Linked DNA regions of Macaca mulatta. The protein of the gene in region 7 interacts with the protein of the main gene of each other region in a biochemical or structural test. Links are inferred from orthologs where the notes say so. Each region holds a gene or a part of one and is shown on either strand. Other genes may lie near its edges. The genes, in order: LIMK2, HTRA1, MAGI3, PDZRN4, GRID2IP, MAST2 and RPS6KA1.

Region 1 (4,460 bases), on a different chromosome or scaffold from region 7:
AATCTTGTGTTTACTATACTGATTTCCTTAGAAACTATAAAACTGAGTACTGAAAAGAGTTCCCAGGAATTAACGGAAGTGGAACAGAGCCTCCCCAGCACTTTGTGCACACTCAGGACATCGTGAGCCACCTGCCACACCCAGAGGAGAAAAATCTGGCATCCGGTTTGAATTAGAGCAGGAAGAAAGAGAATTGTGCTCGCCTTTGCCTTTGCCTTTACTTAACCAACTGCTGGGACCAGAGGCAGTTGGGTTGAACTTTGTCTTTGGTTAGGGGTGGGGGGCGCGGGGGACAGAATCCATTTCCCTGGGCCCCATCCTCTTTCTGGTCATTTGGACACTTTTCCCGTGATCTAAATCTGATCTAAGGAAATGACAATTGTGAAAGACCCAGGGTGAGAGAATCCGATGGGAGGGTGGGTCATCAGGGACCAGCTGACCTGGCTGATGATGTGTTAATACCTTAATCACACAGAGGACCCCAATCTCCTTCCAAACCTAATGAGCGGAAGTGGTTCTCAAAGCTACTCAGCCAGCTAGCAGCTGCCATAACCCAGTCAGCTGTCCTAACTCAGTCCTGTGATCCCTCCTCCTCATAGAAGATTCTAAACTGGCAGCCCACAGGGCAAATCTAGTGGCCAAGTGTGTTTCATTTGGTCTACATGGCATTTTAAAACCTTTTTGATGCTATCAACATTTTTAAAAGTGGCAAATTTCACCTAAACATCTGGATTTTTGGCATGTTTTGAAAAGTTGGAAGACCTGGGAATGGTAGGCCCATGTTCCTGCAGAGGAGTGCTCGTCTTCCAATGGGGCGCACAAGCTCCAGCGTCCTGCGCTCATTTCTGTACCTAATTGGCCTGGCTGAGGATCTGCTCCTCGAAAGCTGGTTGGTCGCCTGCAGCCATCTTTGACTTAGCGATTATTTACTGTCCGCTTACTCATAGTGGCGCAGAGAAGTGGTTTCTCTGAGCTAGAAGCTTCTAAGAAAAGTCCATCCTCAAAGCTGTTTGTGGGATAGACCTGGCTCCTCCACTGTAATATTCCTGATTTCAAACACTACTGGAAAGAGCTCTGGACTGGCAGTCAGTAGGCCTGGGCTCCCATCCCAGCTCTCCTCCTAATGAGCGAAGCCATTTCGAGGTAGTTGAACTTGGCCTCTGATCCTTAACTTTCCCTATCTGTAAAATGAAGGCGACTAGATGGGTGCGGACTAGATCCGTGTTGAGCCTTCTGGCCCACGCAGAATCAACCTTACCAGCCGGAGCACCTCGAGGGTACACCGCTCGCACTAGGGGGCGCCAGGGCCGCTACAGAGCCAGAGCCAGAGCCTGGGGGCGGGTCCTGAGAGCGGCGGGGCGGGGCCTCGGCGGGCAGTCCCCGGTGCCAGGTGTGGTTTGGTCCTCCCGGGGCGCCGTAGGCAGTGCATCCCGTTCGCGCCTGGGGCTGTGGTCCTCCCGCGCCTGAGGCGGCGGCGGCAGGAGCAGAAGGGAGCTGTACAGAGCTGAGGGGAGTTGCTGTGTCCCCCGCCTCCTCCTCCCCATTTCCGCGCTCCCGGGACCATGTCCGCGCTGGCGGGTAAGGAAGGGCTGCTCCGCCCTGTCCCGCTGTTATCTCCGAAGCCCAGGTCCATGGCGCCTGAGGGAAACTGGCGGTCTCGGGTGTTTCGGGCTGGTTGGATCCTCGTGGGTTCCAGCTCCTCAGAAGAGCTGGGAGGCGGGGTGGGCACAGCGCTCCCCAGGCATTTGGAGGGTGGGACTCTGGGAATGGGGAGGTAGGGCATCCTGGAGACAGAGGGCTCGGAGGGGCAGACGGGTTGGGCGGCTTCCCGCGAGTTGAAGTCCCCGGGAGGAAGAGATTCTGGCTTTGCCAGGAATCCAGCTTTTTGGAGGAACCTGGCGGCCGCAGACTCCCAAATTAAAGCCTTTTTAAGGAAGTTGTAAAGCATGGGGTTCACTTAGAGTGGAAGCTCTGTGGAATTTGAGGAGTACAGGATTCTCTAGGGTTCAGGACAATTAGGAGAGTTACCCGGGGTTCTGGGTTTTCTGAGGGAAATGAAGGAGGATGTGACTTCCCTGCCAGGACCCAAGGCTTCTCGCGGGCATCTTGGTGCCTGGGATTTCCCCGGGGCTGGGAGCTCTTTGCAGAATATAGGGGAGTATGGAGCCCCTTGAGGTTTAGGATAGGACTAAGGGTAAGGAGAGATCGGACCATTCTTTTTGGGGCTCAAAGATCTCTGCTACAGGTGAGGAAAGTAGACCGCCTGGGGTTCTGAGTCCTCCCGCGGAAGCTCCCTTGGCCTCTCTAGACTTAAAGACTAGAGGGATGCGGCCAAACACCTCCTGGAAGGAAGAGTTATCTTAAAGGTGAAGGGTAACTTCAGAGTTGGGTTAGCTGCTCCTGCCGTCTCCTCCCCGTCACCTCACACACCACCCTGCAGCTTCCTGCCTTTCCCATCTGTTCCCCCAGCAGCAGGAACCTTCTGTCTCCTATGTTTCCCAGCCACCTGTGTGGGTGGCCCAGCCTCTGGGTCCACCAGGGTCAGCGTCCAGAAGCTTTGGAGAGGCGGCAAGAGGCCATTGAGGTGGAGGGGGGCTGGCTATCTGCCCCCTGCTTCCTGGCTTTCCGTCTGTGGACGGTCACTTCCTTCATCCTGAATACAAGGACTGGGCTACCAGTGGGTCACTTCCTCACCAAGGGAGCATGGGATTTTCTCCTCATTGGTGATAATAGACTTCTGGAGAGGGCTGGGGGTGGAAATGCCTAAAAAAATTTTCCTGTAATCCCAGCACTTTGGGAGGGCAGGGCAGGAGGATCGCTTGAGTCCAGGAGTTCGAGACCGGCTTGGGCTATATAGCGAGACCTCATCTTTTAAAAACAAAGCCTTGTCTCTTAAAAAAGATTTTTTTTTAAGCTTACAAAATTCCTCAACTCAAATGATCTCCAGTAACTTTTTTTTTTTTTTTTTTTTTGAGTCGAAGTCTTGCTCTGTCGCCCAGGCTGGGGTGCAGTGGCACGATCTCGGCTCACTGCAACCTCTGCCTTCCGGGTTCAAGCGATTCTCCTACCTCAGCCTCCCGAGTAGCTGGGACAACAGGGGCCTGCCACCACGCCCGGCTAATTGTTTTCGTATTTTTAGTAGAGATGGGGTTTCACCATATTGACCAGGCCGGTCTTGAACTCCTGATGACCTTGTGATCTGCCCACTTCCGCCTCCCAAAGTGCTGGGATTACAGGTGTGAGCCACCGTGCCCGGCCGATTTCCAGTAACTTTTTCTAACAGCTGTGTAATATAGGTTGCCTGTCTTGAACCCTGTTTCTTAGAAATTTGTGAAAGGTTTCACAGTACAGTAGTCTAGAGGCATAAAGCCTCTAGATGCACTAATTTATGCATTCTTTCATTCAAAGAATATTTGTTGGATTCTTCTTAGCTAAATGCTGAAGAGTACAATGGTGACATAGTTCTTGGCTTTGTGGTGCTTATAATCCTAAAAATGGACAATAAATAATTATAACAATTGCAATAAATGTTAACAATTGCAATACATAATAGTTGAGGTAAACAACTGAGATAAGTGCTGTAAGAGTGCACCAGGGGTGAGGGGTATTCTCTATTTTTCTGTTTTGGTAGAGACAGGGTCTCACTATGTTGCCCATGGTGGTCTTGAATTCCTAGTTTCAAGCCATCCTCCTGTCTCAGCCTCCCAAAGTGCTGGGATTACAGGCATAAACCACCATGCCCATCTTCTACTTTTTTTTTTTTTTTGAAGGGAATACTTTTCTTAAAACTGCAAGTTTATGCTGACCCCTGGAGATAAGTAAAAGTTAGTCTGGCAAAAAAAGCTCACAGAACATTCCAGGCAGAGGAAACAGCATAAAAAGGCCCTAGGGTAGGAAGGCATGTAGTGCCTTTGAGCCTTCGAGCTGGGAGGTCAATATGGTTTTTTGCTTTTTTTGTGGGGGGTGGGGAGGCAGAGTCTCACTCTGTTGTTGCCCATGCTGGAGTACAGTGGCGTGATCCAGACTCACTGTACCCTCCACCTCCCGGCTTTAAGTGATTCTTCTGCCTCAGCCTCCTGAGTATCTGGGACTACAGGGAAGCGCTACCTCGCCCAGCTAATTTTTTGTATTTTTAGTAGAGACTGGTTCTCACCATGTTGCCCAGGCTGGTCTCAAACTCCTGAGCTCAGGCAGTCCACCCACCTTGGCCTCCCAAAGTGCTAGGATTACCGGCGTGAGCCACTGCGCCCAGCCAAGTATGGCTTTTTATTTATTTATTTATTTTTTTTTTTGAGACGGAGTCTTGCTCTGTCACCCAGGCTGGAGTGCAGTAGCACGATCTCGGCTCACTGCAAGCTCCGCCTCCCGGGTTCACGCCATTCTCCTGCCTCAGCCTCCCGAGTAGCTGGGACTACAGGCGCCCACTACCGCGCCCGGCTAGTTTTCTGTATTTTTAGTAG
Region 2 (4,398 bases), on a different chromosome or scaffold from region 7:
CTCTGGTGTGCCAGACAAACATGCAAACGGTGTCAGACACCCTACGGAGCTCAACAAATATTTGCAAAAGAAGGAGGGAGGGATAAAAACAGCATTGTACCCACTCTGCCTCTCCCTCCTTTCAAAGCCACCATGCTTATCCCTCTGTGGCTGTCCCCTCACTGGTACACCGGGGCCCGCCGTGAGCCTGATGGCCAATGGGGGACCTGTTTTCCTCCACACAGGGACTCAGCCAACTCCAAAGCTTATTAAGCAACTTGCCTCACTAGCAATAAATTAGGCGACTCGCATGGTGCCAGCAACTCAGGACCCCGTGCAATGAGACCACAAACAGCGAGACCAGTAACAGCTGGCTTGTTTTGGACAAAAACATGCTTTTTCAATGTTGTTGCCTCACACCCAGATTATTGCAGTAGTCTAAACTCTCCACCCTGGATGCATTCCGCACACCACTGCTAGGTCAGCCCTACACTACACTAGGCTTTGAGTTGCCCCAGTTCAAGAACATCTGCACACAGGGCCCGGGGCACAGCCAGCCTCTTCAGCCCTGGGACTCTGGGCCACCAGCCTGGCTCACTCCTGCTGCCCTCCCCAAACATCCCCCAGCCACACTGATCTATTCACCTCCAAACAAGTCTTAGGCTTTGTGTATGCTGTTCCTGGCTCTGAGGGGGATGCAAGTCCAACCCACCGGGAAATTTACAGCACCTGACCCCTCTCCCACACCCTTGGAGTTAAGTGCTGGCCTGACTCCTCTGAATGAGGCTATCTGGGTTTAAACTCCAGCTGAGTGACCTTGGGCAAGTTTTTCAACCTTAGTTCCGCTATCTGTAAAACAGGAATGAGAAGCTGGGTGTGGTGGCATCCGCCTGTAGCCCCAGCCACTTGGGAGGCTGAAGCAGGAGAATCATTGAGTCCAGGGGTGGGAGGCTGCAGTGAGCCATGATCACACCACTATACTCCAGCCTGGGCGACAGAGGGAGACCCTGTCTCTTAAGAAGAAAAAAAGAGAGAGAGAGAGAGGAGAAACTCCCTCCTCATGAGACCAAATGAGGTCACAGAGGTAACACACCCGGCACACAGACTGAGTGCTCAATAGGCGTGTGCTATCATCATGCCCATTCTCTAGTCTGCGGGATCACTTGTCTCCGGGACAACTCTCTACTGCCTAACTAGGCTGAGTTTCCCGAGGGCTGTGCTCCTGCGTTAGTGAAATACACAATCTCGAATTTCACCCAATTCGGCTCTGGCACCTTCCGGTCCATGTAAGCCAAACTATGCCAAGTCCTAGTTGGTCATACTGAACCATATTCCTATAAAGTAAAATCTAGACCAGTCCCTCTGCACTGTGCTCTCCTATGCCCCTCTCCTGGCACTGCCCGAGTTGAGGAGGCAGCGCTGGGGTCGGGCAGCAGCCGCATGGCTGCGCCTAAGCGCACTGCCAAGCCCCGCTGTCTGGTTCTACACCGCGGGACTGGCCGCCGCTGAACTCGATACTATTCTTCCACATGGCCTCTGCCTGAAGATGGGAAGCATCTCTCCGGAAGGTCCCGCGAGAGAGTTAGACATTGCTCCACTCCACTCCTGCCCCCATCACCACCATCTCCCCTGCCGAACAGGTCCTGTATGCGGCAGGAGGGAGGGGCAGGCTCCTTCCTCATTACTAACCCGGTCCCTTCTACGCCTCTGCAGATTTCGTGATCCAAAGCCCGATTCAGCTTATTCAAAAGGAGCCACTTTCATTTTTGTAGGGCTGGCTCAAAACGAGGAAAGCAACACAGGCAGCAACGCCGCCGAAACGAGTGCGATGCCAAACCGTTCCCTGCCCGGGGTAGACTTTTTGGGGAAACTCCGGCGGGGGCCGGCAAACACTCTTCCTTTCCAAAAGAGTTACATACAGTTTTCACGGAGCGGTCCCGTGATCAAAGTAATGCATTTTAAAGGGGACGGAGGAAGCAAATAGAAAAAGCAACAGAAATGACTTCTTGTGGTCCTGAAGCCACTCTGCAAGGCTCCAGTTCCTAGTCCTGAACTTCTCTCCTCCCTTTATGCCCCCACTCCTCTTATTTGTCCTCGGCTCCCCGCGCTGTGTGGCTGCCCTCAGGGCGCTCCGCGGCAGGTCGCCAGGCGTCTCGAGCCCCAGAGTGCAGGCCCGGCGCACCGGCATCGTCTGGGCGCAGAACCGGCCCCGGGCTGGGCGCGAAGCTCGTTTCCGAGGCAGCCCGCGGAAAGCCGCCACCCCGGGGCCCACCTGCCTGTCCCCGAGAGTTGCCCTGGCCACCCCGCAACGCTTCACTGCCCCTCGGTCTGCCCACCAGTCCCGCAGAAGCAGGTCCGAGCTGGGATGGAGAGAATGGGGTGCTGCCCAGGAGCGCGGCAGAGTACCTTGGCCACAGGCGCCGCGCTGCAAGACGATGACCGGCGGCCGGTGCAGCCTCTCGGAGCGGCGGCTGGCGGCGCGCAGCTGGCACAGGTTGGCGTAGGTGTTGGCGTCGCTGCCGCACACCGGTTCGTTGCTGGCGCACACACAGAGGCCAGCCTGCGCGCGTCGCCGCACCGTGGCCGAGGCTGGCACCCCGAAGGGCACCACGCACTGCAGCCCCTCGCCGCACGGGCCCTCCTGCAGGCCGCACGCGGCGCCCTCCGGCGCGCCGCACACCTCGCAGCAGCCGCACGCGTCCCGGGCCCGGCCGCCCTCGCAGTGCTCCGGCTGCGGCGGGCAGCGCGCCGGCTCGCAGCGCTCGGGGCACCCGGTGGCCAAAGGCGCCGAGCGGCCGGCCCGGGACAGCTGCGCCGAGGCGGGCGCCGCCAGCAGCAGCAGTAGCAGCAGTGGGAGCAGCGCGGCGCGCGGGATCTGCATGGCGACTCTGGCGGCGGCGGCGGCCGTGGCGGCTGACAGGGCGAGGGCCGGAGAGCGGCGCCGGGGAAAGTGCGGGAGGGCCTCGGGGGCAGCGGGTGCGAGTGCGCGCGGCCGCGCGGCCCAGCCCATTGGCCTCGCAGCGGTGACGAGCCGCCTTGGGGACGGGCACGGCGCCCGGGAGGGGGGCCGACCGGATGGCGGGAGGGCGGACGACTGGACCGGGACCGCCCGCGGCGGGGGCAGGGCGGGCGCGCCCGGGCACGGCGGAGCTCGTGGGGCGCGGGCGGGGCAGTGCACAGACCCGCCCTCTCGCGGGACTCAGTTTCCCCGTCTGCGCGCCCCACATATTCGCCTTCCGCAGGTTCTCTCGCTGCGATTCGCGTCCTTCAAACTAAAGGAACTTTGCAAGGGGGCCCTGCGGCGTCTCCCCGCGGGAGCGCTCGGGAAAGTTCCTGCAAATCGCCCGACTGGGGGCCTGCCCGGGAGGCTCGGACTGGGCCAGGCAGGGACTGCAGGGGCCTCTGCGCAGACCCGGGGCGTTGGCGGCACCGCGGACCCCGGTCACGCGCTGGTTCTGCCCCCGGTACCCCGCATGCGGGACCCTGACCGCGGGGCCTGTGCGGCCGGACGAAGGCAGCGTCCGCGGAGCTGCCAGAAAGCCCGCGCCCGGACCCACAGTGAAGTGATAAAAGCAGAGAGCAGAAGTAATTTGAACAGAATCCTTCACACGTCTGATTCTTTTAAACAGTTGTTGTGGGTGGCACGCGTGTCCGTACTCGCAGAGAGCTCAGGAAGCAGCTGGGAGGCTCGTAACTGGAGAGGGTGCAGCGGTCTCAGATGGGAAAGGGGTTTGCTCCTGTTTGAATTTTTCACCACGTGCGTGATTATTTCAAAACACTTTTGTTATCAAAAATTTGATTTTCCACTGGAGAATCTTTGGTGCAGCCTTTGGGACAGATGCGAGTCTGAGAGTCATCAGGAGGGCCGAGGGCGACCCTGGAGGTGGGTCTGGGTGCCCAGGCAGCACCAGGCCTGTGGGCAGTAGTCCTGGGTCCACACTGAGCAGATGGGTACAGCTCGCGTCCAAGGACCTGAGAGGAGGCGGTTCGCCCAGCCCTCATCCGAAACCCTCAAACCTCCAACCCTACCCTGGGCAGAGGCACCCACGGTTGGGTGGGCCGGCAGAGCTGACTTTGGGATACAGTAGCAAGGGAGGGGGCTGGGGGCTTGGAGATTTTAATATTCTTCTGTATTTGGGTTGTTCCCTCGTGCACACGTTACTTTTCCAATACAAATAGTTTAAAAAGTAAACTCCAAATACTTATAAGCCCCCTCAAAGCACCTTCCAAATATGAACCTTGTTAATGTCCAAAGTCCAGAGGGGTCCCTCAGAAAGGCCCAGGAGCCTGGGGCATGGGAAAGCTGTTGGGGTCCCCATGCTGACTCCCTGGACTCCAAACGACATTCCATAAAGCCAGGGCCTCATGGCTGCAGAAGGGAGGCCTTTACCCAGAATCCCTTCAGGCCTGGATCCTGGA
Region 3 (4,504 bases), about 88 Mb from region 7:
TTCAGAACTTTACTACTAATGACTACAAAATGTTCTGCGACCATTAATATGTTATTCCCTTTATTTTGGCTAAATCTTTAAAATAGAACAGTGTCTATGGCTGTCAAGAGGGTAAAACTGTATTACTCTAATAATGTCAACTACATATGGGGCATAGGATGCTTATCTAACACAGTTAATATGACTAATACTCTAAATCTTGAATTATTGTTAAATATAATACAAAGGTTGAGAAAATGTATAACAGGTAGATTAGACTAATGTGAAATAGCCATCTCTTCGGTCTTCTAAAAAAAAAAAATCACAATAATTTAGAAGACACCAGCTTCCATGTCAATATATCAACTTTAAAATTTCTAAAAATACGTTATATTTTCATCTTTGCCCCAACTACTCAAAACAAAACACAAAGCAATGATGCAGATGTTCTCATTATTCACTGACTCATGGGATTTGAACTAAGATTTGGCACCTAGACTAGTAAATGCTGTCTATATAGTCTTTTGCACATTACACACAGTGCGTGACTGGCTGAATTACAGCCCCAAAAGTCTTTCCTCTGCCTTTCACACACTGTAAAAGTTAGCGTTAAGAAAAAATTTTACAAATTCTCAAAACTATACAGAAAAAGCTGTTTAAAGTCTGCCAAAGTTTTAAAAAATTAACAACAATAAAAAGAAAACCTCACTACATAAACCCATACATTTAAAATGAATACGATGGAATAGGCTATAGAAAGAAAATCTTAATTATGATCTTAGGAGCATGTGAGTCTGTGTGTATATATATCCACAATACACAGACATATGTAAACCGCACCACAAACCATCAAGCCCCATTAAGCTCAAGGACTATTAAAGATATATTAATATTTCCAAAGCGAGCTGCTGAGAAAGAAATGAGAAGGAGATAACATATTAAATTTTTCTCCAGAATTTTCTAGCATTTTGCCATCAAGGGTGGACTGCTACCTAGCCCAGGTAACAATTAAGCAGCCCATTATATTTTGATGCACCGTATACTCAGTAGAGCACATTCAGGAAAAACAGTTTGGTTTCTAATAACGTTACAATCACCATTCTCTCTCCCACAAACATCTAAGACGACAGAATCACATTCTATCTATGCTGAAACAAAACCAACAATGCTGTCTATAACAAATTCATAAGAACTACTACATACTATCAGATCTCACTGTATGCTGTCTCTGATCAATGCTTTGAAACTGACGAGTATGCCATAAACGTAACGTGCTTTGCAGCAAATTTTACTAGCATAAAAGATACCAGGGCAAAGAGCCTCCTTTAACCCACCACTTGAACAAAATTCTGTAAAATCAAAAGCGTTACAGAAGCTTTCACTCCGCTAGGCACCTAAGTCTTCCTTCAAAACCCAGACTCTCTTCAACAGCTCCCTGAAAGCACACACCAGTCGGCCACATATCACATATTGTACCCTCATCGGTACTCAGACACCTGAACCACCTGGACTGACAGAGTTAGGCTGACAGCTCCGAGATGTCTGCTAGTGTGCAAGAAACACTGAAGCAGCTAAGCCCTTCCAGGTACACTAGGTGGTAACCTTGGCACCAAGTACTTCTATAGTAAAGACCCTTTTTCCCTGTTAGAAGATGCGTAAGATCGTTCCAAAGAAAATGCTACAATCCTAAGGACCTTTTTGCACAACAGAGAGCGGAAAAGGCTGGCCTTCTCTAGTCAAAAACTCTTGTCTGCGGGGGGAGATGGAGCTACAAATATAGAAAACTCAGCTTCTAGTCGCAATTCTGTGACAGCTAACACAGCTAGCAGGGCAACCTCGCCAAGCCAGAGCTCAGTTTTCCCATCGGCAAAATGGGACTCACCAACGCCACCCCTCCCCCTCGTCAAGGAGTCAGGCACACCCTAGAGGTCTAAGATTAACCCGGACCATACGCGGTGGGGAGGTGCCGTCGCTCCCAGGACGCCCACCCTGGCGCCCCTGTACCCAACACCCCGCGGCAGATACGCAGGGCCGGCGTACCTGGTTTCACAGTCTTGAGACGGATGGGCTCGCGGAAGTGGCGGATGACAGCCAGGGTGTCCCGGTTGGTGAGCCCGCTGACAGGCGTCCCGTTTACCTCCAGCAGCACATCGCCTGGGCTGGGCGCCTTGCCGGAGACGACGCAGCAGGTGCCCCCGCCGGGCTCCTCGCGGAGCCGCCCCAGGTAGGGGAACTCGCCACGCTCCGCGCCACCGCGGATCTCCGCGCCGAAGTCGCCCGGGGGCCCGGCCCAGGACACGGCGCACTCCTGCACCTTGCTGAGCCAGTGCTTCTTCTTCTTCAGCGTCTTCGACATCCCGAACCCCGCTGCACCATGGGGGAGACCCCGCGCGGGCGGCCGGGGCGCCGCTCCGGCCCCGTCTCAGCCCGGGGGCCCTGGGCGGCCCGCGCAGCCGGGTCAGGGGGGCCTCGCCGCTCCGGCCCCCACCCGGTGACCACAGCCCGCTGGGGGCCCGGCCGCTCCCAGACTAGTAAAGGCTCCGAGACGCCTCTTGGACGCCCCTCCCAGCTGCGCTCCCCGGGGCTGACCAGACTCCGCGAGGGCCAGCGCAGGTTAGGCTGAAGAAAGGAAAAGGGAATTGTCCCCAGGCGGTTCCAAAAGGGGCTTCGGGCGGGGTCACTGCCGCCGGCTGGTCCCCGGGCGCAGCGCCCGAGCGGCGGGAAAGGCTGAGGCGGGGGGGCGGTGAGGTGAAGGGGGAAGAGCCGGGAACGGGAAAAATCCGTCGGGGGCGCGCAGAAGCGCGCGTAGACCCGTCGCGGGATCGATCGTGCCCGCTGCGGAGCTGTAGCGCGGAGACCAACGCCTGCCCAAGCTGCCAGGAAACTGCCGCTTTCAAACCCGCCGCAACCTCCTCCTCCTCCCTTTTCCCTTCCCCCCGCCCTCGCCCATCCCTCATCCAGAGCCCCGCCCCCTCCTGCCGCGCGGCGCCCGGCGCGCTGCCGTCACAGGCCCGGCGCTTGGGAACGAGCCCCGGCCCCGGACTCTCGCGCCAGGGATTGGCCCCCGGCGGGCAGGGGGCGGACCGCCAACGAGAATGAGGACCACTGGTTGGTCGGTGCGAGTGGAGGAGGCGGGCACTAGAATGACTGAAGTTTAGAGAGGGTGGAAAGAAGAAGTTTGGAGAGTGAGGGAGGGCGCAGAGGAGGGGCAGGGGAGTGGAATGGGCTTCAGGTCGCAGGGCCGGGAGAGGCCCTCTGCGCGGCTGCTGGAGCCGAGGAAAACGCGAATCCGAGAGTGACCGAACTCCCCGAAGTGGGGGCGTGGCCGGCGAGTTAGGCGGAGACGCAGGCGGAGCCTCCGAGTCTGTGCGGGGCGCTGAGAGGGGCCGGTGTGCTTAGATTGGAAGACAACGTGCGGAGTCCTGACCCTGCCAAGGTTCCGGGGCCTCTAGGGTGGCCTGTTACAGCCGATAGCTTGCATTGAGTGGGTGTTTCTTGTTCATTCGTTCATTCAACAAATGTTGAATGAACGCCCATTGAGGCAGGGCTTCGGAGTCCGGTTGATGAAAGATATTATAAAATAGAGTCCGGCACTTTAACTGCTGTGTGACCTCAGACAAATTAGACAACCTCTCTGAGCCGCAGCGTCCTCAATGAAAAGTGAAGATTCCAGAAGATGTACAAAATAACTGCATAGTGCCGGGCAGTGTGTGGATCCCTCTTAAAGTTTGGTAGCTGCTGCTGCTGCTGATGATGATGATGACGATGACGATTTTGTGTTAGATATTGTGCTAGGTACTGGGATTCAAGGGTGAAGAAGCCCCGCTATTGAGGAGGTTACAGTCTAGTGGGAGAGACTGAGAAGTAAGCAGACTGCCTGAGGTGAGGGGGCGGGGTGGAGGTAGAGGTGGATTATTAAGAACTGGCCTGGTAGCCAGCAGACCTGGTTGGAGTCTTGACGTGCTACTGACTTGCTGTTTGACCTTGGCCAAATCTCAGTTAAAGGAGGTGAAGGGAGAGCGAACATCAAATAAAAGATACCGTAGATCCCTTCCAGCTCTAATTTTTCGAAAACTTCACTTCAGCTTTCTCTCTTCCCCGGCTTGACTCACACTCTTCCCTGTCTTTGGAATGCCCTTCAAACCATCTCTTTTAAAACTCCTATCCGTCATCATCCCAAATGCCAGCTCTTCCAGGTAGCTTTCTCTGATTTCTTGCCCTCAAGTGGAAAATGTTTTCTCTGAGCTATGATCTTTGTTTCACTTCTGCAGCATGCCATTTATTTGTGTAGTCTCCTGTCTCCCTTCAATAGTAGGTGAAAGCCCTTATTTAACTCCACAGAATCTCACCACACCTCGGATAGACTGGACCAAACTTCAATAGCTGCAGTGATTTGGTTGACATCATTGTATCAGTCAGGGTCCTGGCAGGAAACAAATGGCATTTTGCAAAGATGTGGGCAGGGTGTGGGAAACCACAAGAGAAGCCTGGAACCCTGAGGCTACAACTCCTAGATCTGTCCAAT
Region 4 (4,483 bases), on a different chromosome or scaffold from region 7:
AATGGTTGAATGTGGCAGAAGGTTGACATTTTCTTATACTTACTTTGTAAGTATATATTTGAAAAAGAACAACGGTGCATGTGAGGGGAAAAAAAAACCCTATTTTCAAAAATTACGGAATGGCTTTGCATTTTGAGACATGCAGCTCTTTTATCCTAATGCAGCATCTAAATCTGATTTCACTGTAATTGAAAACAGATTTCTGGTTAAACCTTGGAGGTATCTTTATTTTTCCCTCCATTACAGAAAAGTAAAATATAAATTATCAATAGTGTAAAATTTTTATTTTGTAAAGTCTTAAGGAATTTAAGAAACATGAACTATTTATAAATTTTAGTCATAATATTCATGTTGCTGTTGTAATGCAGAATATGTTAGGCTACTGTAGTCCTAATTTTAAATAATATTCCTACTTGGTTTTGCATAATTCCTGCAGAATAAAAAAATAAGGGTTTGTGCTTGGTAAAGTAGTATGCATTTTTTTTTCCTGCTGGCCGAATAATAGTAAAACAAGAATTATAGCTACAATGTTTATTAGTAAAGACTAACTTAAACATTGGATGAATTAGTGCTGGGCTAGGTGGGTTTATTCATGGTTATAGATGTTATTAACCTTTACTTGGAAATTATTTCTGAATGATAACATTCCATATGCATCATCATCACTACTATCAGCATCACGATATTTTCCCAGGAGCTTTTCCTAGGCAGTGCACAGAGCAGCCCCTACTGGTAGGAGAAAAACATTTCTGAGAAACACATAGAGGGTTTTGGCTAGTCTGCAAATCATGGGCAGTTTTTCTCACTTCTCAGAATCATAGCTTGACTTGTTGCATGGACTTTTCTGTAATATTATTCTAACTGTTGCTCCTTTCCTTCAACCACTGGTTTCCTAGACCTTGAAACCTGGACTGGTAATACAAAGCTTCTATCTGTGCTTTTCCCTGGGTCCTCCCATTTTGTAAATTTACCTGTATATATGCATGTATGTATATGCATATATGGACTAGAGAAAGAATCCTTGAAACCAGTCTTTTCATACACAGTGTGCATCCATTCATCAAGGTGGAAACATTTTAGTCCCTCTCACTTCAACGTTCTCATTTAGGTTCAAGACAGGCGCTTCTAAACTCAGTGCCTGAGTTGGAGGCAGTATGCAGCAGCCAGTCCCAAATGGGAATCTTTCTGGGTTGCTCCTCCCCGGGAGTGCTGAAGAATGAAAACAGCTCCTTGAATGGATCGCAAATTCTGCTAAATGCCTGCTCACCATGGCAGCGACCAAAAATGTCAAACACTGCGCAGAAGTCCTCCAGGAGAGAAGTTACAGCTTTATAAACAAGCCTCTTCACACGGAGTGCTGCAAAGAGGCTTGTTTATTCGGCCTGAAAGCGGGCGGGCGGACCAGGAGCGCAGCTCGGGGCCAGAAGCTTAGACAAAGAAGGGAAACAGCCACTGCCTGGGGGCTCTCAGGGCCGGTCTGACCACAGATGGAGGCTCTCGGACTGGACTTCCCAGGTCGCACACACACAATCTCAATCTCTGTCTCTCTCTCCACCAATAATGAGATCCCGAGGCAAGGAAGGCTTATTTAGGGAAAGTCAGAGTGATGAAAAGAACTCTGCAAGTCTAAGAAACCCCATCTCTCAGCTCCTGAGGCCGTCCTGGCCCCTACATGCCTCACAGTCCCCAACTTAGTAGAAGGCAGTTGATTCAGGCAGTGGCAGCGCAAGTGTCATCAGCACTGACACCAGTCCCAGGTGTGCGGCTGCCAGGGCCGCGGGGATGCTGGCTGCCGCGGGAGAGGAAAGGCTGGGCGGGGAAAGTCTGTGCTTTCCGGCTTTCCTTCTCGGATTTGCTTCAAGCACGGGACAAGGGTTCAAAAAATAGGCAGAGACGGTGGGCAGGAGGCTGAAAGATGGAGAAAGTAAGTCTGGATGGAAAACGAGTTTTCCCAATTCCTACTTTCCCGGCACAAAGTTAGAATCGAATCTGTTTAACTCTTTCCAATCGTAATATAAGCAGAAAAGGGACGATCCTTTACTTCGATGACAATCCATTCGAAAGATAATGACAGGAAAGTAATGATCAGGGTGTGATGCTTCCTGCTGCACAGTGAGGAAGGATGCCTAATTCCAAAGGAATCCTGAAGTGTCAGAAAGAACCGTTCCTCTTCCCACCCCAATCGACCATGCCGGCGGTGCCCACCCCCCTTTGCTTACCCTGCGGTGGCCGCCACCCAGGTCGCCGGCGAAGTTGCGGACGTGAGCCATGTATTGGGTGAACTTCTCCTGGTACCTGCGCGCCGTGAGCTGCACCTCGCCCTGCAGCGCCCAGAGCTGCGCCAGCAGCGCCTTCTCGCGCCGCCTCCAGGCGAGGACCCGAGGCCTGGGCCCCCGCCCGCGGCCACAGCGGCCGCTCGGCTGCCCCCCGCGCGCGCCCCCGCCCCGGCCAGCCCCGGGTGCCGGACTGCAGCCCCCCCGCGCGGGCACCTCCCCGCAGCCCAGCCCCGAAGCGCAGCTCGGGCGGCTGCGGAGGCGGCTGGCAGGGCCGAAGTCGCAGTGCTCGACGTGCGCCTCCAGCTCTTGCAGCCTGACCGAGTGGCCACAGCCGCGGGCGCGGTAGTCGCACTGGACGCGCAGCTTCTGGATGAGGCTGCGTAGCGGCAGCACCCGGTACAGCTCGCCGGGCGCCAAGGGCTGGCACTGCAGCGGGCACCGGCGCCGCCGCACCGCCCAGGGCAGCAGGCAGCTGGCGCAAAAGACGTGCCCGCACGGCGTGCACAGGGGCTCTTCAAGCACCTGACCGCACAGCTTGCACTCCAGAGCCGGGTCCACAGCTTCCGCGAAGCGCTCCAGGGCAAAGCCCATGTTAGGGATAGGAAAGAAAGGGGGAGTGAAAGCAGAGTCCGTCTTCTCCAAGCCCCCCTGCCTTCCCCGGCCCACCCCCGGGGCAGCCGCCTCGCGGCGGCGGCAGTGGCTAGTCGGAGAGAGGTGGCGGGTGGGAGGTGTGACCTCAGAGTTTGTTTGGCTTGAAGTTTTCAGGCTCCTGCTAGGTCCCCTGACTTCTCCCGTATTGACGCTAATAGAAGTAACCTCCAGAGACCCCCGCCTCCTTCGCTGCCCTGCGATTTACGTTCTTTCAAATTTTGGCCGCCAGCTTACAATGGTCCTTGGGAACACTGTATTCTCCTTTGCCTGAACAGTGGACTTCAAGCATCGAGGCTCCTCGCCCTGGGTAGGGCTGATGATGGGTACAGCGCTAATGTTGAGAAACAACTTTTAAATCCACCGCAATGTAAGCTTCGGGAGAGCAGAATCTTTTTGTCTATCTGGTTTTCCGCTGAATGCTCATGGCCCGCCCAGCGTCAAGTCTATCTCCAATATGTTTGAAATAGAAGCACTTTTGTTTCTTTCACATCAAAACTACAAAATCAGAAGTTAGGAAACTGTTACTTTAGGAAATCACTATTAGGAAAATAACACTAGGAAATCCACAGAGCCAGGCTTCTCAAACCATGATCCAGAAATCAGGTGAGTTAGAAAGGCGCGATCCTCCACCTAGCAGCAAAGATGGGGAAAAAGCCAAGCGCCCGCCTCAGGACACTGCCTTCTTAAGGAGCCCCTGAACAGCCATGCAAGGCCTGCTCCCGAGTGAGGAAGCTGGGATTCTGAGTCTGACTCCAGGTTCAGTTGCCACAGCATCCATCTTCTACTTCCACAGGCGTTTTACTACTGGGGACGGGAATGTGATCATTTGGGAACCTGGAAGGGAAAATTAAAGGTAAGGATGATGAAAGAAAGCAGTGAAATATAAATAAAATCTTAGTGGCTGCTTCCTTCTACTTACCCTGAATGAACCCTTTGTATCCAAATTGCCTCCCCTCCCAGTTTGACTCTTCAAATTGTGTACCATGACAAGCCGTCCTGAAAATACGCAGTAGGGCATGATTCCAAACCCTTCTTACTCCACTTCCTTTACCATCTTCTGAATCTTAGGAATGCAAAGAGATCCTGTCACCTGGCTGCATATTACTTACTGCCATTATCCTGAAGATGCTACCAGATGCTTGGGTGGGTTTTATAAATTCATCATTGATGATTCCTTGCTGCCAGTTGAGCCTTGTTCCTGGAAAGCTTGTACTTCTCTATGACACCAATGGCATCAGTTGGAATTGATGAGAACAGCTCCAGACTTTGTCTTTTAAATCCTTGGAGCTAACCGAAGAATTAGCGAAGACTAATAATAGAGGTTAATAACCTTCTGAGCCTTCTTTCCGTATGAAAGATGAGATTTTGTTAGCTGTTCAGTGACCCGTGAGGATTGGTGTGCTAGATGTTTAATATGCTTTTAAACTCTTTTTCAAAATAAGATGCTGTATTTCTCATTTAATACATATAGATTCATATGTGATAAAGTAACATTTGCCACTATGTTCCGAATTTCCCCCTCTCTTTTGACCTGTCTTGCTACAAATAAATAGGCA
Region 5 (3,739 bases), on a different chromosome or scaffold from region 7:
CCCTGGAGCTCAAAAACAGTCGGAAGCTCGCCAAGATCCTGGAGGTCAGGGGGCATACCCTCCCTGGCACCCTATCTGCTTCTCTGCCTCCTGGGGCTTCCAGCATGGAGGCCCATCCAGAGAGCAGGGTGGGTGGGTGGTGGTGGAGGACAGGACCTGCCCACCTTCTCGTCCACAGTTTGTGTTGGCCATGGGCAACTATCTCAACGATGGACAGCCCAAAACCAACAAGACCACTGGCTTCAAGATCAACTTTCTGACAGAGGTGAGGGGGCCTGCCAGCAGCAATTAACTGGTTTGCTCTAGCAGCAAGGCGCTGACGCCAAGCCTAGCTCAGTTGTGGCAGAGGGCAGGAGAGGACATTGTGACCAAGGAGGGCTCTTCTCCTAGCAGGAAAAGGGCTACATTGAAGCCAGGATGTGACTGCAGCAAAGGGTGGGGTGTGGTGGTGTAGGGGAACACACTCCCAGGATTTGGAAAAATGGAGTGAGGGGAAAGAGTTGGAAAGAGAGTGTCAAAGGCTGGGGATTGAGCTGGATGTGGTGGCTCATGCCTGTAATCCCAGCACTTTTGGAGGCCAAGGTGGGAGGATCACTTGAGGCCAGGGGTTGGAGACTAGCCTGGACAACATAGCAAGACCCCAGTTCTACAAAAATAATTGGCCAGGCATGACACATACCTGTAGTCCAAGCTACTTGGGAGACTGAGGTGGAAGGATTGCTTGAGCCTAGGGGTTTGAGGCAGTAGTGAGCTATGATGGAGCCACTGCACTCTGGTCTGGGCAATAGAGCAAGACCCTGCTATTTAAAAAAAAGGGGGAGGGGCAAGAATTGATCACTGATGCCACAGTAGTCCAGGAGAAGCTGGGCCCATGTGACCCCATCTGATGGGGTCCTTGATGGGGATGTATGTTGGGGGTCACTTGCAGCTGAACTCCACCAAGACAGTAGATGGGAAGTCCACTTTCCTGCACATCCTTGCCAAATCGCTGAGCCAGCACTTCCCTGAACTCCTGGGCTTTGCTCAGGACCTGCCCACCGTGCCCCTGGCTGCCAAAGGTATGCTGGGTGGGTGGATGAGGCAGAGGCATGCTGTCCTGGGCTGGGAGAGTGGCCCCATGTGGCCTCTGTCCTTTTCCCTACAGTGAACCAACGGGCTCTGACCAGCGACCTGGCCGACCTCCATGGCACTATCAGCGAGATACAGGATGCCTGCGAGAGCATTTCCCCCTCCAGCGAGGACAAGTTTGCAGTGGTCATGTCAGCATCCTCTAAGCAGCCTGTTCCTGCACCAGGCTGGATGGTGGGATGGTTGGGTGGAGCTGGCTATGGCTCCAGTGGCCACTGGAGACCTTGACTTCCTGCAGAGATTCTGGGCACAGGCTGCTGTGCACCCAGGGTTCCTGGAAGAGGCTCCATGCTGGGCTGTTTATTGATTGATTGATTGATTGATTGGGACAGGGCCTCACTCTGTCACCCAGGCTATGCCTGGCTAATTTTTGTATTTTTAGTAGAGACAGGGTTTTGCCATGTTGCCCAGGCTGATCTCAAACTCTTGGGGTCAAGTGATCTGCCTGCCTCAACCTCCCAGAGTGCTGGGATTACAGGCATGAGCCATAACACCGTGTCCCATCCTGGATTATAAATTTATTTTATTTTATTTTATGTATTTATGTATGTATGTATTTATTTATTTTATTTTATTTATTTTTTGAGACAGAGCCTTGCTCTGTTGCCCAGGCTAGAGTGCAGTTGGGCGATCTTGGCTCACTGCAGCCTCCGCCTCCCAGGTTCAAGCTATTCTCTTGCCTCAGCCTCCCAAGTAGCTGGGATTACAGGCACCCACCACCACATCTGGCTTATTTTTGTATTTTTGGTAGAGACATGGGTTCACTGTGTTTTCCAGGTTGGTCTTGAACTCCTGACCTCAGGTGATACACCTGCCTCAGCCTCTCAGAGTGCTGGGATTACAGGCCTGAGCCACTGCGCTTAGCCCTGGGTCATTTACAATCCCAAGGCATTTATAATGCCAAGTCTGTGCGTAACTGAAGCCAGGGCTCTTTTGAGTGCCCCAAAGCCACTGTCCCATCTGTCCTCTGGGGCACTGTAGCCCAGAGCTAAGTCTCAAAATTACAAGGAGCAGCCTGTCAGGGTGGGACATTCCCACTGAGCCCCCCAGCAGGGCCTGGCCAGTGGGTGACAGAGGCCCAGATAGGAAGACAGGCAAGAAGGGCATGTGGCACTTCTCCCTGCTCCCCATCTCTGGCTCCAACACCCCTTGGCAGGGAACACAGGGTTTTCCCTAAGGCTGAAGCTAGGTAAGGAGGAGAGGTCTGGGGGCTGTGCCTGTGGCCAGGGCAGTAGGTGATGAAAGCGCCTGTCACATATCTCTGACTGCAGCACATGGGGCCTGGTGCGGGTGAGTGTCTGAGTAGGAATTTGATGTCAGATCCACCCCTGCCCCTTCCTCTTAGGCAGAAGATCTGCAGAGAATCATTAAGCAAACTCTACAGCTTGGGCAAGGTGCTTTTCACCATCTCCTTTCACCCACTTCACACCCAGATTTTTGTTTTGTTTTGAGACGGAGTCTCGCACTGTCGCCCAGGCTGGAGTGCAATGGCGCGATCTCGGCTCACTGCAACCTCCACCTCCCAGGTTAAAGCACTTCCTCTGCCTCAGCCTCCCAAGTAGCTGGGTTTACAGGTGCCCACCACCACACCCGGCTAATTTTTTGAATTTTTTAGTAGACACGGGGTTTCACTATGTTGGTCAGGCTGGTCTCAAACTCCTGACATCGTGATTCACCCGCCTCGGCCTCCCAAAGTGCTGGGATTACAGCCATGAGCCACCGTGCCCAGCCCACCCAGATGTTTTGCAGATGTGAAAACTGAGGCTGTTTAGGTGAGGGTTAGTCCACTCTAGCATCCCTCAGTCTAGGGGTATTGGCCTGCTTCCTTGGGCTTGGAGGTCCCCAGAGACAAGACAGATGGTCACATTCAAGGGTAGCCTCTGGGCCAGGTACAGTGGCTCATGCCTGTAATCCCAGCACTTTGGGAGGTCAAAGCTGAGAGATCACTTGAGGCCAGGAGTTTGAGAACAGCCTGGGCAACATAGCGGGACCCCATCTCTACAAAAGAATTTGAAAATGAGCCTGGCATGGTGGTGCATGCCTGTAGTCCCAGCTACTCAGGAGGCTGGGGCTAGAGGATCACTTGAGCCCAGGAGTTCAAGGTTGCAGTGAGGTATGATCACACCACTGCACTCTAGCCGGGTGACAGAGTGAGACCCTGTCTCAAAAATAAAATGAAGGCAGTCCAGGCACGGTGGCTCATATCTGTAATCCCAACGCTTTGGGAGGCCAAGGAAGGCAATTCACCTGAGGTCAGGAGTTCGAGACCAGCCTGGCCAACATGGTGAAACCCTGTCTCTACTAAAAATACAAAAATTAGCCAGGTGTGGTGCCATGTGCCTGTAATCCCAGCTACTTAGAAGGCTGAGGCAGGAGAATCACTTGGACCCAGGAGGCGGAGGTTGCAGAAAGCCAAGATCGTGCCATTGCACTCCAGTCTGGGCAACAGAGCAAGACTCTGTCTCAAAATTAATTAATTAATTAATCAATTAAAGGCAGCCTCTGCAAAGGAAATTGACCTGGCATATCAGACAGGCATAGGCCCAAATCCTGACTCATTTGCTTACCTGCTGTGGGACTATGGGCAAGTCACTTACCGTCTCTGAGCCCA
Region 6 (4,392 bases), about 20 Mb from region 7:
CGCCTGTAGTCCCAGCTACTCAGGAGGCTGAGGCAGGAGAATGGCGTAAACCCAGGAGGTGGAGCTTGCAGTGAGCTGAGATCCGGCCACTGCATCCCAGCCTGGGCAACAGAGCAAGACTCCGTCTCAAAAAAAAAAAAAAAAAAAAAAAAGACATGATCTGAATGAAATAATTTGGTCACAAAAGAGTAGACTATGATTCCATTTATATGAAGTATTAGTTCAAAACAAACCTATACTGACAGAGGTGGTGAGGAAGGTTACATCTGTAAAAGGGTAGCGCTAGGAGAAAGCACAGGGAGCATTCCAGGCTACTGGGAATGTTCTCCATCCTCATGTGAGTTATGATCATACAGGTACTCATTCTATAATATTTCATGGACTGAATGAACCTTTGATTTGTCAAACCTCAATAAACAAGTAATCCTACACAAAAAAAGGTTTTGGTGACCTTAAAGACATCAAGTTTTGGGAAAGTATAAGTGAAGAAGCCAAACCATATTAGGGATGTATACAAGGTGAGGATGCTAAGACACTGAGTACAAACTCATTTTTCAAGAAGGTTGCTGGGGAAACAAGAGATAACAAAGTAGTTTGGGTAGGTTACACAATTCAGGGCAATTATGTTGTTTTGTTTTTATTTGTGATATAAAACAAAGAGAATAACAAGGGTCTAAGGCAAACAAAAGAGGATGAAATCAAGGACATAAGTAGAGAAATTAGCCTCAGAGAGGAGGATGAATACTTCTTTCTCTGAGACTGAAGCTAAGGATGAGTAAACACAAAAATCATAATATAAAGAGGAGGGAAAAATCAAGTAATCTTGAACTCTTCCATGAAATATGCAGTAAGGTCAACTGGACAGGTATACTGAGACAGGAAAGGATCTGGACTTCAAGTTCACTTTACAAGTTTTGACTAGATGATACTGTAGATAATGTAAAAGACAAGTGGTAGGCACACGGGGGAGTAAATACAGCAAGAGGACAATGCTCAGCAGCTGGAAGCAGGGGCAGAGATGGTCAATGGTGCAGTCTCCTCAGGGCTCAGTGGGGAATAAGAGGTGGAAGAACAAAACAGGGGAAAAGTCCAAGGGCTACCTAGCATGGTATATAATTTTTAAAGCGTCTAAAGGGCCGGGCACAGTGGCTCATGCCTGTAATCCCAGCTCTCTGGGAGGCCGAGGCGGGCAGATTACCTAAGGTCGGAGTTCGAGACCAGCCTGGCCAACATGGTGAAACCGTGTCTCTACTAAAAATACAAAAAAAATTAGCTGGGCATGGTGATGGGCACCTGTAATCCCAGCTACTCGGGAGGCTGAGGCAGGAGAATAGCCGGAATCCAGGAGGTAGAGGTTGCAGTGAGCCGAAAATAGCACCACTGCACTCTCGCCGGGGCCACAAAGCGAGACTTCGTCTCAAAAAAAAAAAAAAAGTGACTAAGGAAAATGCTAATTATCTGAGAGAAAAGAGGTAAGAGACCTATAAGAAGTCTTAAAATATTCAAGGATGAAGTCACTAGGATTCCGAATAGAACTGAACAAAAGGAAAGCTGTCACTAGAGTTCATTACTACAGGACATTTTTTTGCAAATCCAACAAGACCAAGGATCACTTATTATCGTTTCACTAAACTTACTACCGCTACTAGTGGCAGCTTCTCCTGCCTGATAAAACTGACCTTTATCCCCTACTCATAAATACACCTACTCTTGACTAATAAATTATATAAACACGTCCTGTTCATTCAGAAACTCCATGAATATTTATATGCTGCTGTGTTTTCCCAATAATGTATTTCAGTGGAAAACTAGAAGGCAAACGATAGATCTACGAATTCTGTTCACAAAATTGGGCTTAAGACTGCTCACATGCAGGTGTTTCACACGTGCTTTCTTGTGAAATAGATGGTTGGTAAAGAGAGCCTTAACAATGATTGTGAACACACTGGTACAAAAGTATAATGATGGCCAAATCAGAGAATGCTTGGGAGTGTCATCCGTTTTTACAATTTTAAGGACAACCTCTAGGAAACAGGATAATACTATATCAAATTGACTTTCCCCATCTTACACTATTTACTCCTATGGATAACTCAACGCCTCTTTAGTAAGCCTACTCGTTGCAGCTCACACACTCAGCCCACATTCCAGCGTCCTTTCGCCCCATCCAGAACCCCTGACTACCTCCTGCACCAATTTTTCATTCTTCTACTCCCCCATTTCCAATTCAACCCCAGGCCACCACTTCCATTTCTCCACTCCCCATCTCTCGGCCTCCCCAGACCTCCCACTCCTCCCCCGTAACTATTCAGACCCCACCCCTCCAAAGCTCCAGCCCGGGTCCTCCCGCCGGAGATCCCCTCCCCCACGGCTTCCATTCAGGTTCCCCCGCCCGGATCCCAACCCGCCCTACCTGCTCCTTGCCCTCGGGCCCCACGGGGCCCGTCCGCTCCTCTAGCCGCTGCCTCCCGGGCGGCGCTCGCCGGCGCGGGGGCAAGGACTGGGGCAGCTCCGCCGCCCGCTGAACTCCATCCTCCCGGCGGTCGGGCAGCGGCGGCTGCGGTCGGTCGCGGCAGCGGCTCCGCTTCATATCTGCAGCTGGGGCCCGCGGGCGTCAGCGCCGCGACTGTCCCGGCCCCGCACTGCCCCGGGCCGCAGCGCAGCCGCGCCAACCACCGCCCGCGGCCACCATGGCCGGGCGGACGCCCGAAGCCACCGACCCCAGCCAGCGGCGCCTTCGAGCCTTCTGGGGCCTCCGGCGCCGCGACCTTCTCTGCGCTCCTCACGGAAGAGACAGCATCGCTGCCGCCCCGCCTCGCCACCCGGCACACGCTGGGCAGGCCACCCGCCGCCGGCTCAGCCGCCTGCCTACAGCCAGCCTCCGGCCGGCCCCGCCCCTCACGCGCGCGCACCGGGAGCCCGCCCGCCACCTCCGGCCGCGCGCCGCCTCCCGCGCACGCGCCAGGGAACGGTCGCGAAGGACCCGCCCGTGGCCCTGGCGCGCAGTCGGAGGACCAGAAGGGGGCGGGGCTCTCAGCGCGCCAGCAGCGGCTGCGGACTCCCATTGAATCTTTCATTCATCCATTCATGAAATTGCCGGCCCAAGCTCAGTGCTGGGGACCCAAAAATGAGTTCGAGTCCATCGGTGTCCTCAAGGAACTAGGGAGAGAGGGGCCGGGAGCAGGAAGGAGACAGAATAACACAACTAATGAATAGAAGGCTAATGCGTGCCATTTTATTTAGTTCCTGCCAACCCTCACCTAATTCTCACATCACACTTAGGAGGCAAATCTGCGCATTCTCATATTACAGATAAAGACACTGAGGCGAAGTGAAATGCACCAGGTCACCCAGCAAATTAGTGATCAAACTAGACGTAATTCTGGCTTTTCTGTCCCTTTCCACTGTGTTTGCTCTTTCCGGACAGTAAGACAGTGTGGAAACGCCTATAAAAGTGGAAAAAGTGATGGATTCCTTCTGGGAGGAGGAGAGGACAAAAAAGGCATACAATGAAGTCATCGTGTAGAGCCCAGCCCAGTCTGCTGTGGCCTGGGTAGCCTGACCTGCTGCCTGCAGTGACTCATCTGCTCAGCAACATGTGGTGGTAGCTCAGCTCTGGCCTCCCTCTGGCTTCAGCTGGTCTGCCACATGTTGTGTTTTTCCTCTTTTGACCTAGAAGCCTTGCCTAAAGCCTTCACTGATTTGTCCTGGGCCTCTTCCCTAACCCCTTTCTGAGTAGTAAAAATAGCCAACACTGCGGAGTGCCCACTGGATACCACACACTATGCATTCAATTCACATATACACAAACAAGAAGTTGTATTTCCATTTTACAGTTGAGGAAATAGGCTCAAGTTATATAATATGCTCAACATCACACAGCTTATAAGTCCAGAGCCAGGACTCAAACCCAGGTCTGTCAGATGCAGACAGAAAGACAGTGCGGAAACTCCTATAAAAGTGGAAAAAGTGGGGGCTGGGCGTGGTGGCTCACGCCTATAATCCCAGCACTTTGGGAGGCCGAGGCGGGCTGATCACAAGGTCAGGAGATGGAGACCATCCTGGCTAGCATGGTGAAACCCCGTCACTACTAAAAATACAAAAACATTAGCCGGGCGTAGTGGTGGGCGCCTGTAGTCCCAGCTACTCGGGAGGCTGAGGCAGGAGAATGGCATGAAGCCGGGAGGGGGAGCTTGCAGTGAGCCGAGATCACGCCAATGCACTCCAGCCTGGGAGACAGTGCGAGACTCCGTCTCAAAAAAAAAAAAGTGGAAAAAGTGATGGATTCCTTCTGGGAGAAGGGCAAGACACACATAACCAATGTGCTCTAAAGCCTGTCACCAGCCTGCTCCTCTATTCCCTGCCCCAGTTCCTCACCACCCATCCAGTTAC
Region 7 (3,749 bases):
TCTGCTTGCTCTTCAGTGGCCCCGCCTTCCCCAAAAGGAGGATGCTGACACTGGTCCCCTGATAGGCAAGAACGTCCTCAGAAAATGCCTGAGTCTGAAGGAGGGCCCTTGGGGGATGGGCAGACTGGAGGGACCAAGGGACCTCTTTCCCCTCCACATGACCACCGGAAAGAGGATGAGAAGTCAAAGGAATGGCAACCCTGAGACAAATCCTAGAGAGTCGAGTTCCTGGTCCCCACCCCACTCACATCTTTCAGAGTAATGATGTTGGGGTGCTGGCCGTACCGCAGAAGAATCTCAATCTCTTCTGAAGGATCCCGCTTGCTCTTATCAATGACCTGAAGAAAGTGGGTGCATGTGGCAGTGTCAGGGTGACAGGCTCCAGGGTCCTTCCTTGCCATGGAGCAGGCCTGGAGGTCTCGGCCACACAATCTTTCATACATCTGCAGAGCTCAGGCACCACCCCTCCCCACCAGACGGGGACCTGCCCCCGGCCCGGCAGCCTTGGCTGAGACGTGGTCAGGAGGCCCACCTTGACAGCATACTCCATGTTGGTGGCCTTGTGGACACAGCGCTTGCACACAGAGTAGGAGCCCACACCAATCGTCTCCTTTACCACGTAGCCGTCGCTAAAAACCAGGTTCTTCCCATGGAGTTGCTGTAGGAGACCAAAAATTGTGGCTGACCCCTGGCTCCAGAGTGCTAAGGGTCATCTCCCAGCATTCAAGGTCTTGGCTCAGTAGAGACAGCACCGGGGAAGGGCCAGGAGACTTGGCGTAGAGTGTTGGCCATGTGACTGCAGGTGAGAGCCTGCCCCTCTCTGGGCCTCAGTTTTCTACTCTATATGTTGGGCATACTCGCTGGCTCCCAGCCTGCCTGGACTGCAGCCTGTGGTCAGAGGGCAGCGCAGGGAGTGGGCAAGAGGGTCACAACACACATGGAGAGGACTTTAGTTCTGAAAAGCCTGGGCAGGCCTGGGAGGGACGCAGGAGCCCTGAGCTGAGTTCCAGCTGTGCCACTAAGTATGGCTTTGAGTGACTTGCCTCCCCTTTCTGGGGTGTCACAGCTCAACTCAGGGGGTGTCTCAAGGTTCTGGGACATTAGCCATAGCAATGCTGAATGGTGCTTAGTGTGTGCTGCGTGCCAGGCAGTATTCTAAGCACTTTCATCAGGTGACTACATGCCCCACGGCCAGCCCTGGCTTGCGCCTGCGGTCCTTGCATCCAGTCTGATTTAATATTTGTCCTGGATAAAGATGTCCCAGTTTGGAAAATAAATTACATAGTCACCTTAACTTTATTTTTTATTTATTTATTTTTTGAGATAGAGTCTTGCGCTGTTGCTAGGCTGGAGTGCAGTGGTGCATTCTCGGCTCACTGCAACCTCTGCCTCCCGGGTTCAAGCAATTCTCGTGTCTCAGCCTCCCAAGTAGCTGGGACTATAGGCACATGCCAACACGCCCATCAGATTTTTGTAGTTTTAGAGATGGGGTTTCACCATGTCGGCCAGACGGGTCTGTTTAAATTCCTGCCTCAAGCAATCCACCCTCCTCGACCTCCCAAAGTGCTGGCATTACAGGCATGAGCCACTGTGCCCAGCCCACTTTAACTTTACATGTATTAACTCTAATAATCCTCATAATAGCTCTATGGAGGAAGATTCTATCATTTCCCCATTTACAGATAAGGAAACTGAGGCACCAGGAAGGGAAGTATCTCATCTAAAGTCCATTATCTGGTCGGGTGCTCATGTCTGTAATCTCAGCACTTTGGGAGGCTGAGGTGGGTGGATCACTTGAGGTCAGGAGTTTGACACCTAGCCAACATGGTAAAATCCCATCTGTACTAAAAATACAACAACAACAAAATTAGCTGGGTGTGGTGGTGTACATCTGTAGTCCCAGCTATTCGGGAGGCTGAGGCAGGAGAACTGCTTGAACCTGGGAGGTGGAGGCTGCAGTGAGCTGAGATTGTGCCACTGCACTCCAGCCTGGGCAACAGAGCAAGACTATGTCTCAAAAACAAACAAAAAAAACCCCAACGTCCATTATCTTGTGAATCTGGAACCCATGCAATGAGCTGCACAGTCTACATTCTTGCCTCTCAACCTGAAACTTTCATGAGGCAGTGGAAGTGTACAAATGGGGAACAAGTGTGAAGAGATACAAGTTCTTTGCTACCCTTATGCCAGAGACACGACAGTCACTCTGCACCATCACCCTGGGCACCCCCTGGCATGTACCCAGACCCTGCTCTGTGCTGGGAAATGTATAGCCATATCATCATCCAATTATCAGGGCCACAGTGTGAGGTGGGCCTTACTGTCCCTGTTTTATGTTGGAGACCCTACGGGTCCCACAGTGGCACGAGGGTATGAACCCGGTTCTGTCCAACTCAGAGCCTGTATTCACAGCCATTCTTTAGAAAAGGATAACGGAGCAGCAGCCCCTGCCCCCCTCACCTGTACCACCGAGTGCAGGGGTGCCTGCGGGGCGCGAGGCTTGCCGTCGTCCTCCATCAGGCCAGTGGCCACGAAGCTGAAGCCCCGGAACAGCTGATGGGCCCCAGCGCTAGGGGGGATGCCTGGGGAATCTGTAGGGGCAGGAGGGGAATGTGAGGGTACCTGAGGAGGTCCCCTCGACCCTGAGGCAGCCCAGCAAAGGGGGAGCACAGGGCCTGAGACCTGCCTCAGGGGCTGGCCATGGCAGGAGCCTGCAGAGGGCCTGTCCATCCCAGGCCTTAGCCCGACTGCTCATATGTGTTTAGACCAGTCCAGTCCTGATGCATGAGGAACATTAAAGACTCTCACATCCACTTCCATCCCAGGCCAAGACAGTTCGTCCCTTCCTGGATGCTCCCTCCCCAGCTTCTCCGTCTTACATCAGCCCCTTCAGGTCCATCCCTGCACAGTAGCCAAAGGGAAGGTTCCAACCACAAATCTACCACCCTGCCCGCACCTTTCAAAGGTGCCCCTCTGCCTTCAGGAGTAAGCCCAGCTTCTGAGTCTGGCAATGGAGGGCCTTGTGATCCTCCTCTTCTCTCTCCACACCACAGCTGAGCCACGTTGGACTTCCCAGATCCTTAAAGGGGTCTCTGAGCCCTTGCACACACTGTTCCCTTTAACTAGATAATCCATTGCTTGCCTATCCTTCAGGACTCAGCTCACTCGCTCCCTCCTCTGAGAAGCCTTGCCTCATGCTGCTTCTCTGGCCCCTGACTCCTACAAAGCTGCACCTGTCACACTGCCCAGCAGACTGCTTAGAGAACTGCTGTCCCTGTCATCAGAGGTGTGCAAGTACAGTGAGAAAAGCACCCCATCGTGGATCATTTGAGGTTAGGAGTTCCAGACCAGCTTGGCCAACATGGTGAAACCCCGTCTCTACTAAAAATACAAAAATTGGCCGGGCGCGGTGGCTCAAGCCTGTAATCCCAGCACTTTGGGAGGCCGAGACGGGCAGATCACGAGGTCAGGAGATCGAGACCATCCTGGCTAACACGGTGAAACCCCATCTCTACTAAAAAAAAAATACAAAAAACTAGCCGGGCGGGTGGCGGGCGCCTGTAGTCCCAGCTACCAGGGAGGCTGAGGCAGGAGAATGGCGTAAACCCAGGAGGTGGAGCTTGCAGTGAGCCAAGATCCGGCCACTGCACTTCAGCCTGGGCGGCAGAGTGAGACTTCGTCTCAAAAACAAACAAACAAACAAACAAACAAACAAACAAAAATTAGCCAGGCGTGCTGGCACATGCCTG

What was found.
Region 1: the proteins of RPS6KA1 (region 7) and LIMK2 interact in a test that uses a peptide from one of them, tested with the Homo sapiens proteins (2 studies listed by BioGRID and IntAct). The link is inferred for Macaca mulatta from reciprocal best matches to the Homo sapiens genes RPS6KA1 and LIMK2.
Region 2: the proteins of RPS6KA1 (region 7) and HTRA1 interact in a test that uses a peptide from one of them, tested with the Homo sapiens proteins (2 studies listed by BioGRID and IntAct, with this or other methods). The link is inferred for Macaca mulatta from reciprocal best matches to the Homo sapiens genes RPS6KA1 and HTRA1.
Region 3: the proteins of RPS6KA1 (region 7) and MAGI3 interact in a test that uses a peptide from one of them, tested with the Homo sapiens proteins (2 studies listed by BioGRID and IntAct). The link is inferred for Macaca mulatta from reciprocal best matches to the Homo sapiens genes RPS6KA1 and MAGI3.
Region 4: the proteins of RPS6KA1 (region 7) and PDZRN4 interact in a test that uses a peptide from one of them, tested with the Homo sapiens proteins (2 studies listed by BioGRID and IntAct, with this or other methods). The link is inferred for Macaca mulatta from reciprocal best matches to the Homo sapiens genes RPS6KA1 and PDZRN4.
Region 5: the proteins of RPS6KA1 (region 7) and GRID2IP interact in a test that uses a peptide from one of them, tested with the Homo sapiens proteins (2 studies listed by BioGRID and IntAct, with this or other methods). The link is inferred for Macaca mulatta from reciprocal best matches to the Homo sapiens genes RPS6KA1 and GRID2IP.
Region 6: the proteins of RPS6KA1 (region 7) and MAST2 interact in a test that uses a peptide from one of them, tested with the Homo sapiens proteins (2 studies listed by BioGRID and IntAct, with this or other methods). The link is inferred for Macaca mulatta from reciprocal best matches to the Homo sapiens genes RPS6KA1 and MAST2.

Annotation. Positions count from the first base shown.
Region 1 is NC_133415.1:20,306,583-20,311,042, reverse strand, and holds the start of LIMK2 (LIM domain kinase 2), read left to right. Parts: upstream 1-1,422; 5' UTR 1,423-1,562; coding exon 1,563-1,578; exon of another isoform or gene 1,579-2,646; intron 2,647-4,460. UniProt on the Homo sapiens protein: Serine/threonine-protein kinase that plays an essential role in the regulation of actin filament dynamics. Acts downstream of several Rho family GTPase signal transduction pathways.
Region 2 is NC_133414.1:134,542,763-134,547,160, reverse strand, and holds the start of HTRA1 (serine protease HTRA1 precursor), read right to left. Parts: upstream 2,924-4,398; 5' UTR 2,861-2,923; coding exon 2,386-2,860; intron 1-2,385. UniProt on the Homo sapiens protein: Serine protease with a variety of targets, including extracellular matrix proteins such as fibronectin. HTRA1-generated fibronectin fragments further induce synovial cells to up-regulate MMP1 and MMP3 production.
Region 3 is NC_133406.1:126,867,630-126,872,133, forward strand, and holds the start of MAGI3 (membrane-associated guanylate kinase, WW and PDZ domain-containing protein 3), read right to left. Parts: upstream 2,866-4,504; 5' UTR 2,336-2,865; coding exon 2,020-2,335; intron 1-2,019.
Region 4 is NC_133416.1:48,096,739-48,101,221, reverse strand, and holds the start of PDZRN4 (PDZ domain-containing RING finger protein 4), read right to left. Parts: upstream 2,982-4,483; 5' UTR 2,868-2,981; coding exon 2,220-2,867; intron 1-2,219.
Region 5 is NC_133408.1:44,506,364-44,510,102, forward strand, and holds part of GRID2IP (delphilin), read left to right. Parts: coding exon 1-44; intron 45-178; coding exon 179-265; intron 266-928; coding exon 929-1,058; intron 1,059-1,144; coding exon 1,145-1,263; intron 1,264-3,739.
Region 6 is NC_133406.1:194,801,677-194,806,068, forward strand, and holds the start of MAST2 (microtubule-associated serine/threonine-protein kinase 2), read right to left. Parts: upstream 2,873-4,392; 5' UTR 2,591-2,872; coding exon 2,414-2,590; intron 1-2,413. UniProt on the Homo sapiens protein: Appears to link the dystrophin/utrophin network with microtubule filaments via the syntrophins. Phosphorylation of DMD or UTRN may modulate their affinities for associated proteins. Functions in a multi-protein complex in spermatid maturation.
Region 7 is NC_133406.1:214,427,866-214,431,614, forward strand, and holds part of RPS6KA1 (ribosomal protein S6 kinase alpha-1), read right to left. Parts: intron 2,592-3,749; coding exon 2,461-2,591; intron 659-2,460; coding exon 533-658; intron 339-532; coding exon 249-338; intron 1-248. UniProt on the Homo sapiens protein: Serine/threonine-protein kinase that acts downstream of ERK (MAPK1/ERK2 and MAPK3/ERK1) signaling and mediates mitogenic and stress-induced activation of the transcription factors CREB1, ETV1/ER81 and NR4A1/NUR77, regulates translation through RPS6 and EIF4B phosphorylation, and mediates cellular proliferation, survival, and differentiation by modulating mTOR signaling and repressing pro-apoptotic function of BAD and DAPK1.